Linked DNA regions of Pelodiscus sinensis. The protein of the gene in region 2 binds, or shares a complex with, the protein of the main gene of each other region. Links are inferred from orthologs where the notes say so. Each region holds a gene or a part of one and is shown on either strand. Other genes may lie near its edges.

What was found.
Region 1: NAA50 (region 2) and HYPK share a complex: the UniProt entries of both Homo sapiens proteins name them as parts of the N-terminal acetyltransferase E (NatE)/HYPK complex. The link is inferred for Pelodiscus sinensis from reciprocal best matches to the Homo sapiens genes NAA50 and HYPK.

Annotation. Positions count from the first base shown.
Region 1 is NW_027466027.1:113,651-121,441, forward strand, and holds HYPK (huntingtin-interacting protein K), read left to right. Parts: upstream 1-4,490; 5' UTR 4,491-4,582; coding exon 4,583-4,768; intron 4,769-5,084; coding exon 5,085-5,140; intron 5,141-5,912; coding exon 5,913-5,964; intron 5,965-6,237; coding exon 6,238-6,333; 3' UTR 6,334-6,513; downstream 6,514-7,791. Other genes in the region: SERINC4 (serine incorporator 4), read right to left, coding at 1,966-1,992. UniProt on the Homo sapiens protein: Component of several N-terminal acetyltransferase complexes. Inhibits the N-terminal acetylation activity of the N-terminal acetyltransferase NAA10-NAA15 complex (also called the NatA complex).
Region 2 is NC_134711.1:141,203,994-141,212,222, reverse strand, and holds the start of NAA50 (N-alpha-acetyltransferase 50), read right to left. Parts: upstream 3,717-8,229; 5' UTR 3,554-3,716; coding exon 3,546-3,553; intron 1-3,545. UniProt on the Homo sapiens protein: N-alpha-acetyltransferase that acetylates the N-terminus of proteins that retain their initiating methionine. Has a broad substrate specificity: able to acetylate the initiator methionine of most peptides, except for those with a proline in second position.

The DNA.
Region 1 (7,791 bases), on a different chromosome or scaffold from region 2:
CCAGGAATCATTTTATTTGTCCTGTGAGCCCAAATGTGCTTGGCCCTAGAAATAACGTGCCCAGGCACCTGGTACTGGACTCCATCCCCAACCTGGCATTTCTCCCTGGCGCTGGAGAGACTGAACAAAGGGTTCCCACCCCAGAGGAAGTCTTTTTAAGGAATGGAAAACAGTCAGGTCTGTATCTTCATCCGGCCTTGGGAACTGCCTGGCCCACCAGAAGAGGGGACACAGGAAGAAACCTGAAAATGAAAGACTCTAAAGGACTCTCGCTGACAAGCCGTAGACCCAGGCCAGAGGGAAGAGCAGCTCTACCATGCCGCTGGTACGGGGGTAAGAACAGCTGCTTAGGGCAGGAATTCGCAGGTAGCAGGTTTCTTAGTGGATTAGAAGCAGCTAAGTGGTTTTAGAGAGGTAGCCCTGTTAGTGATCTTGGCAAAACAGGGAGGGTGTGGTGCGGGTGTGGCGGGGAGGGTGTGGGTAGTAAAACAAAAAAACCGCCATGTAGCACTTTATAGGCTGACAAGATGGTTTATTAGGTGATGAGCTTTCGTGGGGCAGACCCATGAAAATTCCCCATATTTCGTAGGGAATATGATCTGAGGAAGTGGGTCTGCCCCATGAAAGCTCATCACCTAATAAACCATCTTGTCAGCCTATAAAGTGCTACATGGCGGTTTTTTTGTTTTACTACCCACACCCTCCCCGCCACACCCACACCCTCCCTGCCAAACCTGTGCCACACCCATGCCCTCCCTGCCACACCCACACCCTCCCTGCCACACCTGTGCCCTCCCTGCCACACCTGCTTCGCACCCTCCCTGCCATACCTGCTCCCTCCCTGCCACACCCACACCACAGCCGCCCCTTCCCCGCCACACCTGTGTCGACTCCGTGACACCGGTGCCCTCCCCTCTGCACCCACACCCATACCCTCTGTACCACACCTTCCCCATCACACCTGCACACCCTCCCCACCACACTGGTGCCACACTACGCCCTCCCCGCTGCGCTGTCCCTGCCACACCCGCCCCGTTACAAGCTTCTGAAACCTGGCACACGTTAGCAGTCCCCTCAGGAAGCAGGGCGTAAAATCCGCTTTAGTGAGCAAACTGGTTCCATGTTACGTTTAACCAGCTAACTGATTAAAGGGCGGCAGGTGGCTGGAGCGCCCCCCCCACCACGAATTGCTGGGGGAGCCCCTGCTCCAGCCCCACGTTATCTGGCTCCGTGGAGGGGAGGCTTGCCAGTGACATGCTTAAGCAGGCACAGCCCCGCGGGAACGGACGCCCCCCCTGCCCCGGCGCGCCTGCAGCGGGAGGAAGCAGGACGGTGCTTGTGGGGTGCAGCCGCAGAGGCAGTGGCTGGGGGGACGGCTGTCCAGCACACGTCCCTAGCTAGGCCTTGCCTGGGCCCCGCTTGGGCGGAGGGACAAGGCGGGGCCAGGAGCCGGACAGAGAAACCACCCAGACACGTGCGGCTGGCAGGCCAGGGAACTTCAGTGGAGGGAGCCACCGAGCATCAGAGAGCAGGAGGGGGAACGAGTGTGTCCAATCTGTCGTGACCAGAGGGGGGCTCTTCCCACGGGCAGCCGGGGCCGGTCCAGTGTCCGGCAGGCACCAGGAGCCTGCCACCCTGGCTACTGAGAGCATCCCCACGGCAGACACTGCCCCGTAGCCCTGAGCCCCACAGCCAGGCCAGCTCGGGAGCGGAGCAGGGGGCCCGGGCCAGCCCTGGGATGGGACAAACTCGGCTGCCCTGGGGCCAGCACGGAGACCTGAGGTTTGAGCAGACCAGGAGGCTTTGCCCTGCTCAGTGGTGCCTCTCCCATGGCATCCAGGCCAGCTCCCGGCTGTTGCAGCCGCTGCCCCGCGCCCCGGCGGCGATCCGGGGCTCAGGGACGAGACCTGGAGCTGCCACAGGGCGATCGCAGTGGCTCCCGCGAGAGGCCTCGCTCTGGCTCACCTGTGCCTTCCAGCAGCTGGCCACCATCCCGCTGCAGGCCTGACGTCTCTGGCTCCCCCGTGGCGATGCCGGATGTGCTGCACCAGCCTCCTGGTCATCAGACGGGGGATGCCGGGGCCTGAGGGTTCTGCCAGCCCCTCCCTGGAGATGCCCCCACAGCTCCCTGCTCCTGAAAAGCTATCTCAAGTGGAAGCCAATTAGGCAGAGGGCTCTGATTGGCTGAATCTTGGTACTAGACCCACCCCCATGCATGATCTCCGGGCGACTCTTGTCTTTCATCGAGTGATTACACTGGGCACTAAATCAGTCCCCTTAACCCTCTTACCCCGCAGACGCAGGGATTAGCGATCCCTGGAGAGAAGCTGGGCACACGCCAGGCAGGCAGCGCGATGGCGGAAGCACCTCCAGAGCCCGCAGTGAGAGCAGAGCCTCCTCTGGCCGCCGTGTCTGTGCCTGGCCGAGCCCCTGGGACCAGGAGACAGACACAGCCCAGCCACCAGCTGGCGAGGCGGGTCCCGCCTAGCACTCGACCGATGGCTCTCTGAGCCCAGGGCCAGCAGCTGCTAAGAGTCGTCTTCACCGTGCCCGCTCCCCACTCCCCACTCCCTGTGCCTGCGGCGCCCGGCCCACACGGCCAAGGCCTGCTCGGGTCCCGGCCGCGTCAGAGGGGCGAACCTGCTTGGCATGGAAGGACACTATGGAGCGTCTCTCAGGAGTCACCGGGCTCTGGGCACGGTGCGGCTGCCCCATTGCAGACAGGCGCTAGCAGGAGAGGGGAACTTGCCCTCTGAACACAGGCCGAGGAGACTGGGCGGGCTCTAGGGAGGGGAGGCCGACAGGAAGGGCGATAAGAGTCTAAAGTGGGGGAGGCTCTCGTAACACAGCAAGGAAGGGGCCCGACGACACCGAGAGGTGGGCAGACTTCACCCGAGCCAGGAACTCCTGGCCACAGGGAATCAGCGTGGCCTGGGCCTCTCTGTGGCCAGCCAGGATATTCAGTGGCCTGGTGCAAGTGAACTCGGGCGGGGCGGGGCATGTGCTGCTCTGGGGCTTAGGCCGGTCTCCGCCATTAGGGATCCGACTGGGCCTGTGCATGGGCCGACTCTGCAGCTGCCGCCTGCAATCTGTGGCTGGGTGCTACATGGTGGCGGCGCGGGGCAGCCACAAGGGTGCTGTGCGCAAGAAAGCCCCTCCCACCAGCCCGAGCTCTGGAAGGGCAAAGAATCGCAGCAGACAGGAGGGTTCTCATCTCTAAGAAGCAGAAACAGAGACCCCCCGGCCCTAAAGGAAGTCCAGTGCGGACAGATTCTACAGCTGTTACCTCTTGGAATTAGAGACTGCACCCTTGGGTGTGTGCGTGGCCTACCTGAGCCTGTAAACAGCACGTTTCATTTCATAGTTCATAACTCCTTCCCTAGCAGAGCGCAGGGCCGGCTACCCGCGCTGCCTTTGCTGCGAGATCTGAGCACAGTGACCTGGGAGAGGAGGTGGGACTCTTGGGATTGGGAACTACCTGAATACTTGGGGATTGGGGGAACTGACCGTTCAGAACACAGGCGGGCTGCTGTGCCCAGGGGACTCTCTGGTAAGACTCTGTAGGGTGAACATTTCTGAGGCAGGCTGATATTCTGTTAAGAGCCCAATCTAAATTCAGACTCTGGGAATGGCACATGAACACAGTACATGGTTATTCCCCTTCCCCACCAGTCCAGCCCATCAACGGAAAGCCATCCCCCAGGATGGGAGGCAGGACAAGACACATTCAATGGTGCTAATGTCTCTGCTTTAATCCCCAGATGGACCGCATCCCGCAGAGATCCCTTCTTGGAGCTGACAGACATAGCACCACTTCACTGATAACTGATGTCCAGACTAACAGGCTACATCTCTATTGCTTTGTTTAAATACTTCTTGTACTGGAAACACGAGATAACTTTCTATTACTGTTCTTATCTTGCCTTACTGTTAGCATCTATCTGGGGGGGTCTGGGATCCCCCCCCCCCCCGGCACCACTTTGATCTGCCTATTGAGCATCCTATATAACTAGCTGTGACCTATTGTTCAGCAGTGTGCACTGAGCCCTGGCTCTGAATAGTCCTGGAGCCTGGACACCATATAACTCGCTGCCCATGCACCGAGGTACTCGGAGTGCCAGAACTGCACTAGAGCAAGCACTCTGGGAGGGAAGCCCTCCCCCGCACCCGCCTCCCCCCCTCCCTCGCCTCCCCTCCCCCCCCGCCTCCCCTCCCAGAGCCCTTCCCCCTCCCCCCCTCCCCCCCGCCTCCCCTCCCAGAGCCCTTCCCCCTCCCCCCCCGCACCCGCCTCCCCCCCTCCCTCGCCTCCCCTCCCAGAGCCCTTCCCCCTCCCCCCCCGCCTCCCCTCCCAGGACCCCGCCCCGCCCCCTCTCCAAGAGGCTGAGGCGGGGGGAGGAGGGGCCGCCGCGCTCACGACACTTGCCCGCGGGGTTTGTGCCGGGCCTACAAAAAGGGGGCGGGGCGGGGGGCGGGGCCGGCGATTCCCCTCCCGGACGCTCTGGGCTCACAGGCGCGTCTCGCTGGTTCCGGCGCCGCGCGCGGCCAGGTCCCGTGACCGGAAGCGGAAGCGGGGCCGGGCGCGATGGCGGCGGAGGGCGACGTGGAGCTGGAGCTGGAGACGGAGCCGAACGGGGCCGGGGGCGGCGCGGAGGGCGCGGGGGGGCGCGCGGCCGAGAAGCCCCGGAAGCACGACAGCGGCGCGGCCGACCTGGAGCGCGTCACCGACTACGCGGAGGAGAAGGAGATTCAGAGCTCCAACCTGGAGACGGTGCGGGGCGGGGCCGGGGACAGGGGGCGGGGCCTGGACAAGGGGCGGGGCCGGAACAGGGGGCGGGGCTTGGACAGGGGCGGGGCCGGAACAGGGGCGGGGCTTGGACAGGGGCGGAACAGGGGGCGAGGCCGGAACAAGGGGCGGGGCTTGGACAGGGGCGGGGCCGAGCGGGGGGCGGGGCTTGGACAGGGGCGGGGCCGGCACGGGCGGGGGCCCTGCGGGATGTTCTGGGCTCCTCCATCAAGGGTCCAGCTGTGCCTGGCTGTGCCTTCCTGAGCCGTGGCTCCCCCCCCCTTTCCCTCTTCTCCCCCAGGCCATGTCCGTGATTGGAGACCGCCGATCCCGAGAGCAGAAGGCAAGGCAAGAGAGGTAACCGCTCCCTGCACCTCTCCTGTAGAACTTAGAGAATCCTAGAACCACAGAGCTGCAGGAGACCTCAGAAGGTCAAGTCCAGCCCCCTGCTCTAGGCAGGACCAATCCCACCTAAATCAACCCGGCCAGGGCTTTGTCAAGCCGAGACTTAAACACCTCTAGGGTTGGAGACTCCACTATGTCCCTAGGGAACCCATTCCAGTGCTTCACCACCCTCTTAGGGAAATAGTTTTTCCTAATATCCAACCTGGACCTCTCCCACCTCAACTTGAGCCCATTGCTCCTTGTTCTACCATCCGTCACTACTGAGAACAGCCTCTCTCCATCCTCTTTGGAACCTCCCTTCAGGAAGTTGCAGGCTGCTATCCAATCCCCCCTCACTCTTTGCTTCTGCAGACTAAACAGACCCAAGTCCCTCAGCCTCGCCTCATAGGTCATGTGATCCAGCTCCCTAATCATTTTGGTTGCCCTCTCCAATGTGTCCACATCCTTTTTGTAATGGGTCAGCAGCCCACACCCCTGTCCTAAGCCATTTGGTCCGGTACTATGTGGCTTGGTTCTGCACATGCAGAATCTTCCTCTAAAGGCTCTGGGTAGTTTTTCTAGTTAAACTTTCTGCTTATCCATGGCCAGTCTCAATAACAGTGGCTTTGTCTCAGCAAAGAGCTACTGCAAGTGCTCTGGTTGTATTTGACAGTTGTGACTGAGCTGCTCTGCAAAGGGGAGTCTGTAAGATTGGTACTTTATCTTCTGATTCCTTTTGTCACAGGGAAAAAGAACTGGCAAAGGTTACAATCAAGAAGGAAGATTTGGAGCTGATTGTGAGTATGGCAGGAAGTGGTGCCAAGAGCGAGGCTGGGGCAGGCCAAGCCCAGATCTCAGTCAAGTTATTTACTCAGTCTCGGGGGCTCAGAATACGTGCACTGCAGCCGGAGGACAAAGGGCTGTAAAAAGTCACTTGTGTTCCTGGCGCACTGCAGTGCAGCAGAGACAGCAAATGTGTACGCTTGGTGCCAGCTTCAGTGATGCTGCAGCAGCAAGCCTTGAGCGAGGCCTGTGGTGCAGCATCTCTTCCCTTGGCTCCCTCCCTGCAGATGAACGAGATGGAGATCTCGCGGGCAGCAGCAGAGCGCAGTCTGCGGGAGCATATGGGGAACGTGGTGGAGGCTCTGATCACCCTCACCAACTAAGCACATTCCTACGGGACTGCTTGGTGCTTTGGGGAGAGAACGAGGAAAACTCTTGCTGGGACTTCAAAGTCTTTGTGCTGCCAGCCCTGTCCTGAGCACAGCCTTCGTGATAGTGGTGGGACAGCCAGATTGGTCAATGCTATGTGTTAACTTATTGAAATAAAGAGCGCGCTAATCTTCTGTGGGCAGAGTGTATAAAACAAGGCTCAACAGGCGCTGAGCTCCGTGCAAGAGCATGCAACAACTCCACCAGTTGTAGCAAGCTTGGGTCAGTCCACGGTGCACTGGTGTGCGAGCTATGGGCACTGTGTCACGAGACAAACCCCTTCAGAAGACAATGGCTGAGCTTTCAGAAAGGGAGAGCAGAGGTATCTCTTCCCACCCCTGCTGAATGGTTCTTGAGAAACTTTGTTCCCTTCCTCCCTTCCAGCGCTCTGTCTTGCTCCCAGGCTTAGGTTGAGCTAGCTTGCTAGCGCTTAAGCTGAGCCCCACTGTCTTCAGTCTCACATGGTATTGGCAGATCTTAATCCACAGGGGTGCTCTGTATATTTACACTGTGCTATGTCCTGAGTTAGCGGAAGGGGAGGTTCTGCCTTCTGCTGAGTTCCCTACTAGTGCTTCAAGGCCTCAGCAGCCCAGAGCCGCCTGCTTCGTCAGGCCCCGGGGGAGCGGCTGGTTTCAAAACAAGGTGGCAGGGTGCTTAAAGGCATCGTAGAATGGAAGGGTCAGAGGGAACACAAGCTTTAGCTTGTGCCCTGGGAGGGAGCCGGGTGTTCACCTTGGCTCCCACGAGGGACAGGGGCCTTTCGAGTGGCAGTCTAGTGAGCTCTTCTCTGGCAGCTGCTAGAGGGGCAGAGCTACCCCAGTGCCAGGATGGGGTATGAGCCCACAGGCCGCCCACGGGCGAGCAGACACCACGCAGGGTACTCAGGTGGGGGAGGCAGGCCAGACGGAAGTGCTGTTACATTGAGTGCTTCTTCCTCAAAGCCAGAATTCCATCCACCTCCAGCACCAGGCTGCATTCAGTTACCCAAGCCCCCAGCAGACACAAGGGAGAGGGCCTTGGTTCAGCTCCCCCCACCCCTCCCAAGCCACAGCACAGCCACTCTTGTGAGAAAACAACTTTTAATTCAAACTCACCTTGTGCCTCGGGGGCCTGGCAGAGCCCCAGCCCCCAGTGCCTGGGGATGGGAGCGTCGAGCCACAGTGGGCTAGGCAAAAGGGGCTGCAAAGCCCCTCGGGCAGGGCACAGTAGACTCTCAGCTGTTCCAGAGAACCAAAAGGGGCGGGGCTCCCTTCCCCACAGGAGATGTTCTGGAGCACCAGGTACCTACAGCCTGCTAAGTCCAAGGGAAGGGGGTGGTGGTTGCTGGCCTCTGACAGTGGGAATCTAGGGAGCGCTTTAACCCCTTAGGGCTGGGGGACGAGAGCAATTGGGCACCGGGTCTGGCAGGCCCA
Region 2 (8,229 bases):
TTTTCAAGAGGAGGTCATCCTAATGCAATATCCCTCAGCAACAGTTACAACTTATAGCACTGGAAAGCCCAATTGACCGGAGTTTTAAAATGAGAAGAGACCTCCCCCAGTAGCATTGGTTTCCTTAGAAAAGAATCATGGGAACTTCTGTGAGCACCAGTTGTGGAAAACTTATTCAGAAGCTGACGGATGGGCTCACTTCATGGAATCCAGGGAGCTACCGCAGATGCTAGAAGAGCCCCCTAATTTCTCATTGATTTCTCCTTGCTCTCAGCAGAGGAAGTTCTCTGCATATGCAGACCCTATAGTTACACTGAATGATACAGTAGTCTCCATATAGAACAAAAAAGCAGCTGCATAGGCCACTTCACTGCTGCATGTTCTTTTAATTTCAGAGCAATTGGGACGGAGAACCACAAGAAACATACATTGTGCTGCTGCTGCCTCCTCCTTAGATTTAAAGGATCACCGAACACTAGGAAGAAGTCATTCACAGTACAGTCAGTCCCCGAGTTACGCGGATCTGACTTATGTCGGATCCGCAGTTACGAACGGGGATTTTCTCGCCCCGGAGGACTGGAGCGGCGGGACGCCTGGTCCCGCTGCCCACCTCCTCCAGAGCGAGAAAAGCTGCTCCCCGTCTCCCTGGTCTGCTGGGGGAGCCAGCAGACCAGGGAGACGGGGAGCAAAGCAGTGGAGGACCCGGGCCGGACCCGCGGCGCTGATCTGCAAGCGCCGCAGGTCCGGCCCAGGTCTTCCGCCGCTTTGCTCAGCGTCTCCCTGGTCTGCAGATCTGGAAGCGCCACAGTCCGGCCTGGGTCCTCCGCCGCTTTGCTCCGCGTCTCCCTGGTCTGCTGGGGGGGGACACAGCTAGTGCCCCCCCCCCCCAGCAGACCAGGGAGACGTGGAGCAAAGCCCGGTGCCTGTGGTAGAGCAGGTGGGGCGCTGCCGGTTGGTCCCGCAGCACCGCTCCTTGGCGCTACTGGACCAACCCGGCAGCACCCCAGCTGCTCTGCCCCAGGAGTCCTGATTCAGCCGCTGCTGATCAGCTTCAGCAGCGGCTGAATCAGGACGCCTGGGGCAGAGCAGATGGGGTGCTGCTCTGCCCCAGGCATCCCCAAGTTAGCCGCTGCTGAAACTGACCAGCGGCTGACTACAGGAAGCCCGAGGCAGAGTTGCTCTGCCCCGGGCTTCCTGGAATCAGCTGCTGATCAGTTTCAGCAGCAGCTGACTTGGGGACGCCTGGGGTTCTTAAGTTGAATCTGTATGTAAGTTGGAACTGGCGTCCAGATTCAGCCGCTGTTGAAACTGATCAGTTTCAGCAGCGGCTGAATCTGGATGCCAGTTCCGACTTACATACAGATTCAACTTAAGAACAAACCTACAGTCCCTATCTTGTATGTAACCCGGGGACTGCCTGTACTCTAAACGGGAGTAGGATTGACATAAAATTCACTATTAAATCTCTATGAGGGAGCAGTAGTGGGATGTTCTACTTGTAACAGAATCCCCAAACTCAGAAACCACTGAAAAAGCAAGAGTACAGAGAAAATGGCAAAGCTCCAGTAGAGAGATGGTGCAGCATGGCACACTCATGGAGTACTGCTTATAACTATATCCTGCCAAGAGATCCCAGTGTGCTCTGCCCGGATGCACACAGACATACATATAAAATATCCAAGCCCAAACAACAGCTCTGCCTGATTCACAATCAACAGAGAAAAGAAAAGAATCAGAGAAAAGCCAAGCTATACAAATCTGTGAGAGAGAGAGAAGAGACAAAATTCTAGTTCCACCAACAAAGTAGCTGACAATGATTTTGCCAACTGTGGGCTCACCTTTGCTGATCAAGCTTATCGCCCTTCCCACATACTTGCCTATGCCAAATAAAGCAACTTTGACTAGCTCCCAAGAACATGGGAAAAGAAATAGGAATCTGTCATTTCTATAGGGCCAGGAATCCATCATTTCTATTGGGCAATATTTTATTCATACATATTTCCATAAAATAATTGCACATTTGTACCTGAAGTGTGTTAAGTTTCGGGACCTGTTTTTTCAATCTCTCAGCTTTACTCTCTCAGTCCCAAAAACCATTTAAGGTGTCTGAAACTAGACATGAGAAATAAGATACCTAGGTTGCTTGATAAAAACTTGGTGTATGTGACCTTACCCCAAAAAGTTAATAACAAATGGTAAAGGGCTAAAAACTCTAAGTACTTCAACTACCATTTTACCCTGCCTTAAGCAGCCAAACTGGAATAGTAATATCTGTCACTTACATAACACTTTCCAAACAGTAATGATTTGCAACACCACTTCTGGAGCCCTCTTATTTCATGGGGGAGAAACTAACACACAGAGGTGAGATGACTTGCACAAAGTCACATAAGAGGTCAACAGAGCTGGGAACCAAATCCAGGTCTCATGACTTCCAGCCCTGTGTTCAGAAAGCTAGACCATGTTACCTCTGTATAGCAGTAGAACCAGTATTTCATTTACTACATTTAAAACCTCTATGCCACATTTTCATAAGAGAACCAGAAAGGGAGGTCCTAAACAGATAACACTGCAAAATCATTGTTAGGTGCGAAGACTAGCTTTTTGTTCCATCCACATCCTGCAATCACAACAAGTTCTAAATAAATTTTAAAGGCTACATCAAAAGCAAATACTCGTGGAAATTACACCATCTTTTCAATCTTCCCTACAAAGCAGTCACACAAAGCTGGTCAAGGCCAGGCAGCATTTTAAGACAAAATATTATTTCCATTGTTGTTCCATTGGGGACTTCTCTGAGTGACTTCCCAGATACCAATTTGATGACCCTGCTTCTATCTTCATCATCATTATTATTATTATGAATAGGGGCTAAAGAAATTGAATGCTAAAGTTAATTCACTTGCATACGATTTTTTCAAGATAGTTTCACAGAAAAGACCTCTACACAAGACGATAAGCTACATTTCTCAAAAGCAGAGTGGAATGAACCAGCTCTTTCCACCTACTATTTCTGCAATAAAGCAGATAAAGTGAGACAAGGACCAGAAGAGTTGTTTTTGGCATGGGGGGGGGGAGGGGAGAAGAGGAGGTTCCTTCCAAGAGCAAGGTGCCGAGCTTCCTGCAGTTCAGGGTCAGCGTTTCGCAGACACACACAGTGTAACGCTACACCCCAGCTGAAAACCAACAGCTTCATCTCCTCCGGCCGGCTGCACACACGCGCTCTCCCCAGGACAAGCCACAATTCAGCAGCCCGCGGGCCGGGCTCGGAGCGGCGGGAGAAGGGGAGGCGGCTGCGTGGGGCGCCCCACGCGGGCGCTGGGCGGAGAGTGGCAGGTCCCGGCGCGTGAGGGCGGTTGCACTGGGATTAACGTCTCGGCGTTTGCGCAGCTGCGCGGGAGAATCGCGCCACCACTGCCCGGGCCGCTCGCTCGCTCGCGCACACTCCGGGCCCGGGCCGGGCTCCGCGGCAGGGCACAGCGGGCCGAGGCGCGCCGGCCGGGGAGGCCGCTGTCACAGCGAGGCCGGGCGGGAGCCGCACTCACCCCTTCATGGTGCGGCCTGGCGGGGCCGGGATCCGCGCTCGGTGCGTGCGGGGCCGGCGATGCGGCTCCGGCCTCCTCCTCCTCGGCGCTGGCGGTTCGTGCTGCGGCAGCTCCCCCTGCACATGGGCCTCGGGCCGCCCGCGCGCCGCGCTCCGCCCCGCCCGCCGACGTGACCCCCCCTCACCTCACGTCCTCCTCCCCCCCCCCTCGGCGCCTGGCGGCGGCGTGACTGGACCAGCGCTGCGCGGCACCGCCCACGTGACCTCTTCCCGAGTCGCTCCGCGGGAAGAGCCTTAGCCTGTCACGTGGGCCGAGGGAGGCCAATCGCCTGCCTCCGCATCTATGACCCGTCATTCCAAAAAAAAAAAAAAAGCATTCAAAGCTAGCCGGGCTCCCGAGCCCCTCATTTCCGGGGGAGGAGGGATAACACTCGTGACGCGGCGCATGCGCCCTGGGAGCGACTGATCAGCTGATCGCTGTCGCCTGCTATTGAAGAGAAGCGGCGGAGCGAAGTGGTTCAGCTGCCCCCGCCCGCCCAGGTGAGGCCCCCCCCCCTCCCCACCCCCCAGCAGAGGCGGGAAGCCTCGAGCCGGGCGGGTGGCGCGGGGGCTGCCGGGCCGGTAGCGGGGTTGTGGGGCGAAGGGGCCGCGCAGCGACGGCTGCGGGGGGGGCCGAGCCTGGGAAGCCGAAGCGCCGCCAGGCAGAACGTGGGGCTGGAGGCGGCAGCGGATCCATGGGGGGGGGGGGGCGCAAGTAGCGCCAATGAGCGCGACAGGCCCGCGGCGCAGGCTGACCCCGCGCGGTTTCTACGACTGAGGGTCCCTCGGGAAGGACCCGGCCCCGCAGTTTCGGCCTTTCATTTCCGGAATGGGGAAGAGCGAACGTGAAAGGCCTCTCGAGTCTCTTCAGTCTAGCGCCACATGGCCTGTGTGTCTCCTGCTCCTGTGACAGGGGCGCGCTCAAGTATCCGCATCTCGTTGTCGTTTCCCTTTCTAGCGCTTTGTGCTTAGCTCGTCCGAGCCCCATTCTTAACTGAAGGGTTCAGATGTTGCTGTTGGCATTGAAGGTCAGCTGATAACTAGGGATGTAAAAAGTTGGTTAAATAGATAACTACGTAATTGCTGAAAATCTCAAGTTACATGTGGTTGGACTGTGCAGTATAAAGTTTAAATAAGCTTTATATTGCAGTGCCTGCAGTGAAGCCTCTTCTCCCTCCCCCAGCCTTTGCTGGCTCTGCTTCAACTTTTGAGCCTCCTCCCAGGGAACTGGCCCTGCCTCTGAGGAGCCAGTGTGTAACTTGTGGTAGGGGGGCGGGGTGAGCCTGCCATGGACAGGGGGTTACTCCAGCCCAGTGGTAGGAGTAGCCCCTGCCTGCGGTGGACCCCACTGGGCTGGAGCAGATCCCTGCCAGTTAACAGGAACCAGTAAGCAATAACCGTTTAAAGTGATGCTTACCGGTTAACCTTTCACAGCCCTACCAGGGTGACTCAGTTCCTTCGGGGGAGTCACTGTATGGCTCCCTATCCAGTGTCCCTCCTACACTCTGTCTTGGCATGACCATAGTAGTGGCTCTCTAATTTTCTTAGCCTTATAAGCTTTAGACCATCTCATTCTGTAATAAGCATCTCCACATGCAGAGCTGTTCCTGAAGAGCTCTATGTGTAGGCCAAGCCCTTCCTTCTTCCAGAACTCTTACACCATGGCTTTGTCTACATTGGCACCCTTTTCCAGAAAAAGGAGTGCCAATGAGACAAGTCGGAATTGCAAATGCCGCGGGGGATTAAAATATCCCCCGCGGCATTTGCATGAACATGGCTGCCGCTTTTTTCCGGTTCGGGGCTTTGCCGGAGAAAAGCGCCAGTCTCGATGGGATCTTTTGGAAAATAAAGCCTTTTCCGGAAGATCCCTTATTCCTGATCCCTTCCTGATCCCATCCTGAAGGGATCAGGAATAAGGGATCTTCCGGAAAAGGCTTTATTTTCCAAAAGATCCCATCGAGACTGGCGCTTTTCTCCGGCAAAGCCCCGAACCGGAAAAAAGCGGCAGCCATGTTCATGCAAATGCCGCGGGGGATATTTTAATCCCCCGCGGCATTTGCAATTCCGATTTGTCTCATTGGCACTCCTTTTCTGGAAAAGGGATGCTAATGTAGACACAGCCCATGTCTAAGGCTTTCTATTTTTTATTGAATATTCCCCTCCTGTTCCTCTGCCTGCACAGACATAGATAGGCCTGAGAGCAATCCTAGATGAAATAATGGAACGGCTGATAGAGAACTCCTTTAACAAAGAATTCAAGGCAGGTGACTAATGGCAGTTGGCATGAATTTATCAAAAATAGATCTGGCTCCTTTGCTAACTTGATATTATTTTTGATTGAAAAAAGTATAATGAAAATACAATACAATTGATAAAGGTCATAGTGTTGATATAACAGGTTTACGTAAGACATTTGACTTGTTCCTGCAAGATATCTTGATTAGTGAATGATAATACAAAATCAACATGTGAAATGGATTAAAACCTGATAGGTCTCAGCATGTAACTGTAAATTGAGACTCATCGGCTACGTCTAGACTGGCATGATTTTCCATAAATGCTTTTAACGGAAAAGTTTTCTGTTTAAAAGCATTTGCGGAAAAGAGCGTCTAGATTGGCACGGACGCTTTTCTGCCAAAGCACTTTTTGTGGAAAAGCATCCGTGCCAATTGAGACGCACTTTTGTGCAAAAAAGCCCCGATCGCCATTTTCGCGATTTGTGCAAAAAAGCCCCAAACAAATCTGAGCTGTCTACACTGGCCCTTTTCTGCAAAAGGATTTTTGCCTGAATGGGAGCAGCATAGTATTTCCGCAAGAAGCACTGATTTCAGACAGTAGGAAGTCAGTGTTCTTGCAGAAATTCAAGTGGCCAGTGTAGACAGCTGGCAAGTTTTTCCGCAAAAACAGCTGCTTTTGCGGGAAAAACTTGCCAGTCTAAACACAGCCATCAAGTGTATCCAAAGGTATCAGTTCTTAGCTCTTCGCTAGACAACTTCTTTTGGAGGAAAAAAATGAATAGTGATTAAAATTTGCAGTTGACAAAAGATTGTGGGAGTAGTAAATGGAGAACATGCCACTGAGATCACTCAGTAAGCTGGGGAAAGATAATGTGTTTCAATTTAGCCAAATGTAAGTTAATAAATGTAGGAACAAAGAGAATAGACCATTCTTACAGGATCAGTGACTATCTTGGGAATCTGACTATGTGGGAAAAACTTTATCAATCATGATGCATAATTAGCTGAATGTCATACTGGTAGGTAACACTAGTCTGGGCTAACTTGATCCTTGGCTGTCTAAATTGGAAAATACAGTATATTACTTGTTTGGCACCGGTACAATTGCTGATGGAATAGTGTCCGGTTCTGGTGTCAACCATTCAAGAAAGACGCTGATAAATTTTAGAGTGTTCAGAAAAAGACCACAAGAAACATTCAAAATAGTAGAAAATGTTCTGTATAGTGAGATGATGTAAGGAGCTCAATCTTTTTATCTTATCAAAGAGAACGTTCAAAGATAATGTGATTACATTTATATGTACCTACAAAGGGAACAGAATTTTGATAATACAGACAGGAATATAGCAGACAGAAATATAACAAAATCCAAGTTGCAGCTAGACTAATTCAGATGGGAAACAAGGTATCAGTTTTTAACATGGTAATTAACCATGGAACCATTCACCAAGGGTTATGGTGGATTCTCCATCACTGGACTTCTTTATCAAAAGTAAATGTGTTTCTAACAGATGCTGTAGTTCAAATACAGCTACTGGGCTTGAAGCAGGAAATAATACAAGGAAAACCACATAAACTCTGTTATACAAGAAGTCAGGTGAAGTCCAGAAGTCTCCGAAGAAATTATCTCTGAGTGAAAGGTAAAGGTCCCATCTTTAAAGTAGCACAGAGATTATACAGCATCCCACCTATTGTCTTCCCTCGGTTAAAACAAGTTTGACTATGGTGGGTATGAGCTCCTGCTAGAGAGGAAGAACAAAAAAATATTTTTTCCCCTTCGACACAACTTAAATTTTCTTTTGACTTGAAAATATTACTGACTTTTCTTCCTGCATAGTCAAGTCCACATGACCCATTGGAGGGGAACAGTGTCAAGAAAAACAGAGAATGGATTGAGATGGAATGTCATGCCTGTATGTTTCACCCTTACTCACTATGTGTTTTGAGAAGTGTGACTGCTTCTGAGGGGTAGAGTAGATAGAGGAAATAAGAATAGATGTCTGCCCTGGTGGTGCAGCTGTCAACACCTACTGTATTTTAGAGGAACAGTGGGTCCAAAATTTCTTGATCCTCTTTTCTTAGAGGTGATCAGTCACTGTGTGCGCATTGGAGTTAAAAGTGACCTGCTCAGGAAAGGAAATTGGCCTATGTCTGCATTATTTTTTTCATAGTATACACAGTTGTCCTGAAACTTTTTTCTGCTTTTTTTTCATTAAGTAGAACATATGGAACTGACACATTGTATCAGAGCAATGGTCTTTTAGTTTAATATCATGTCTGACAGTGGCTCGTACCAACTGCATCAGACGAACCACCCTGCAATATAGACAAAAAAGGGATATCCTGTCCTCAGGAGTCTTAACTCCTGGTTAATGTTCTGCAGTTTAAATGTTTGTTCTTCCTAAAACT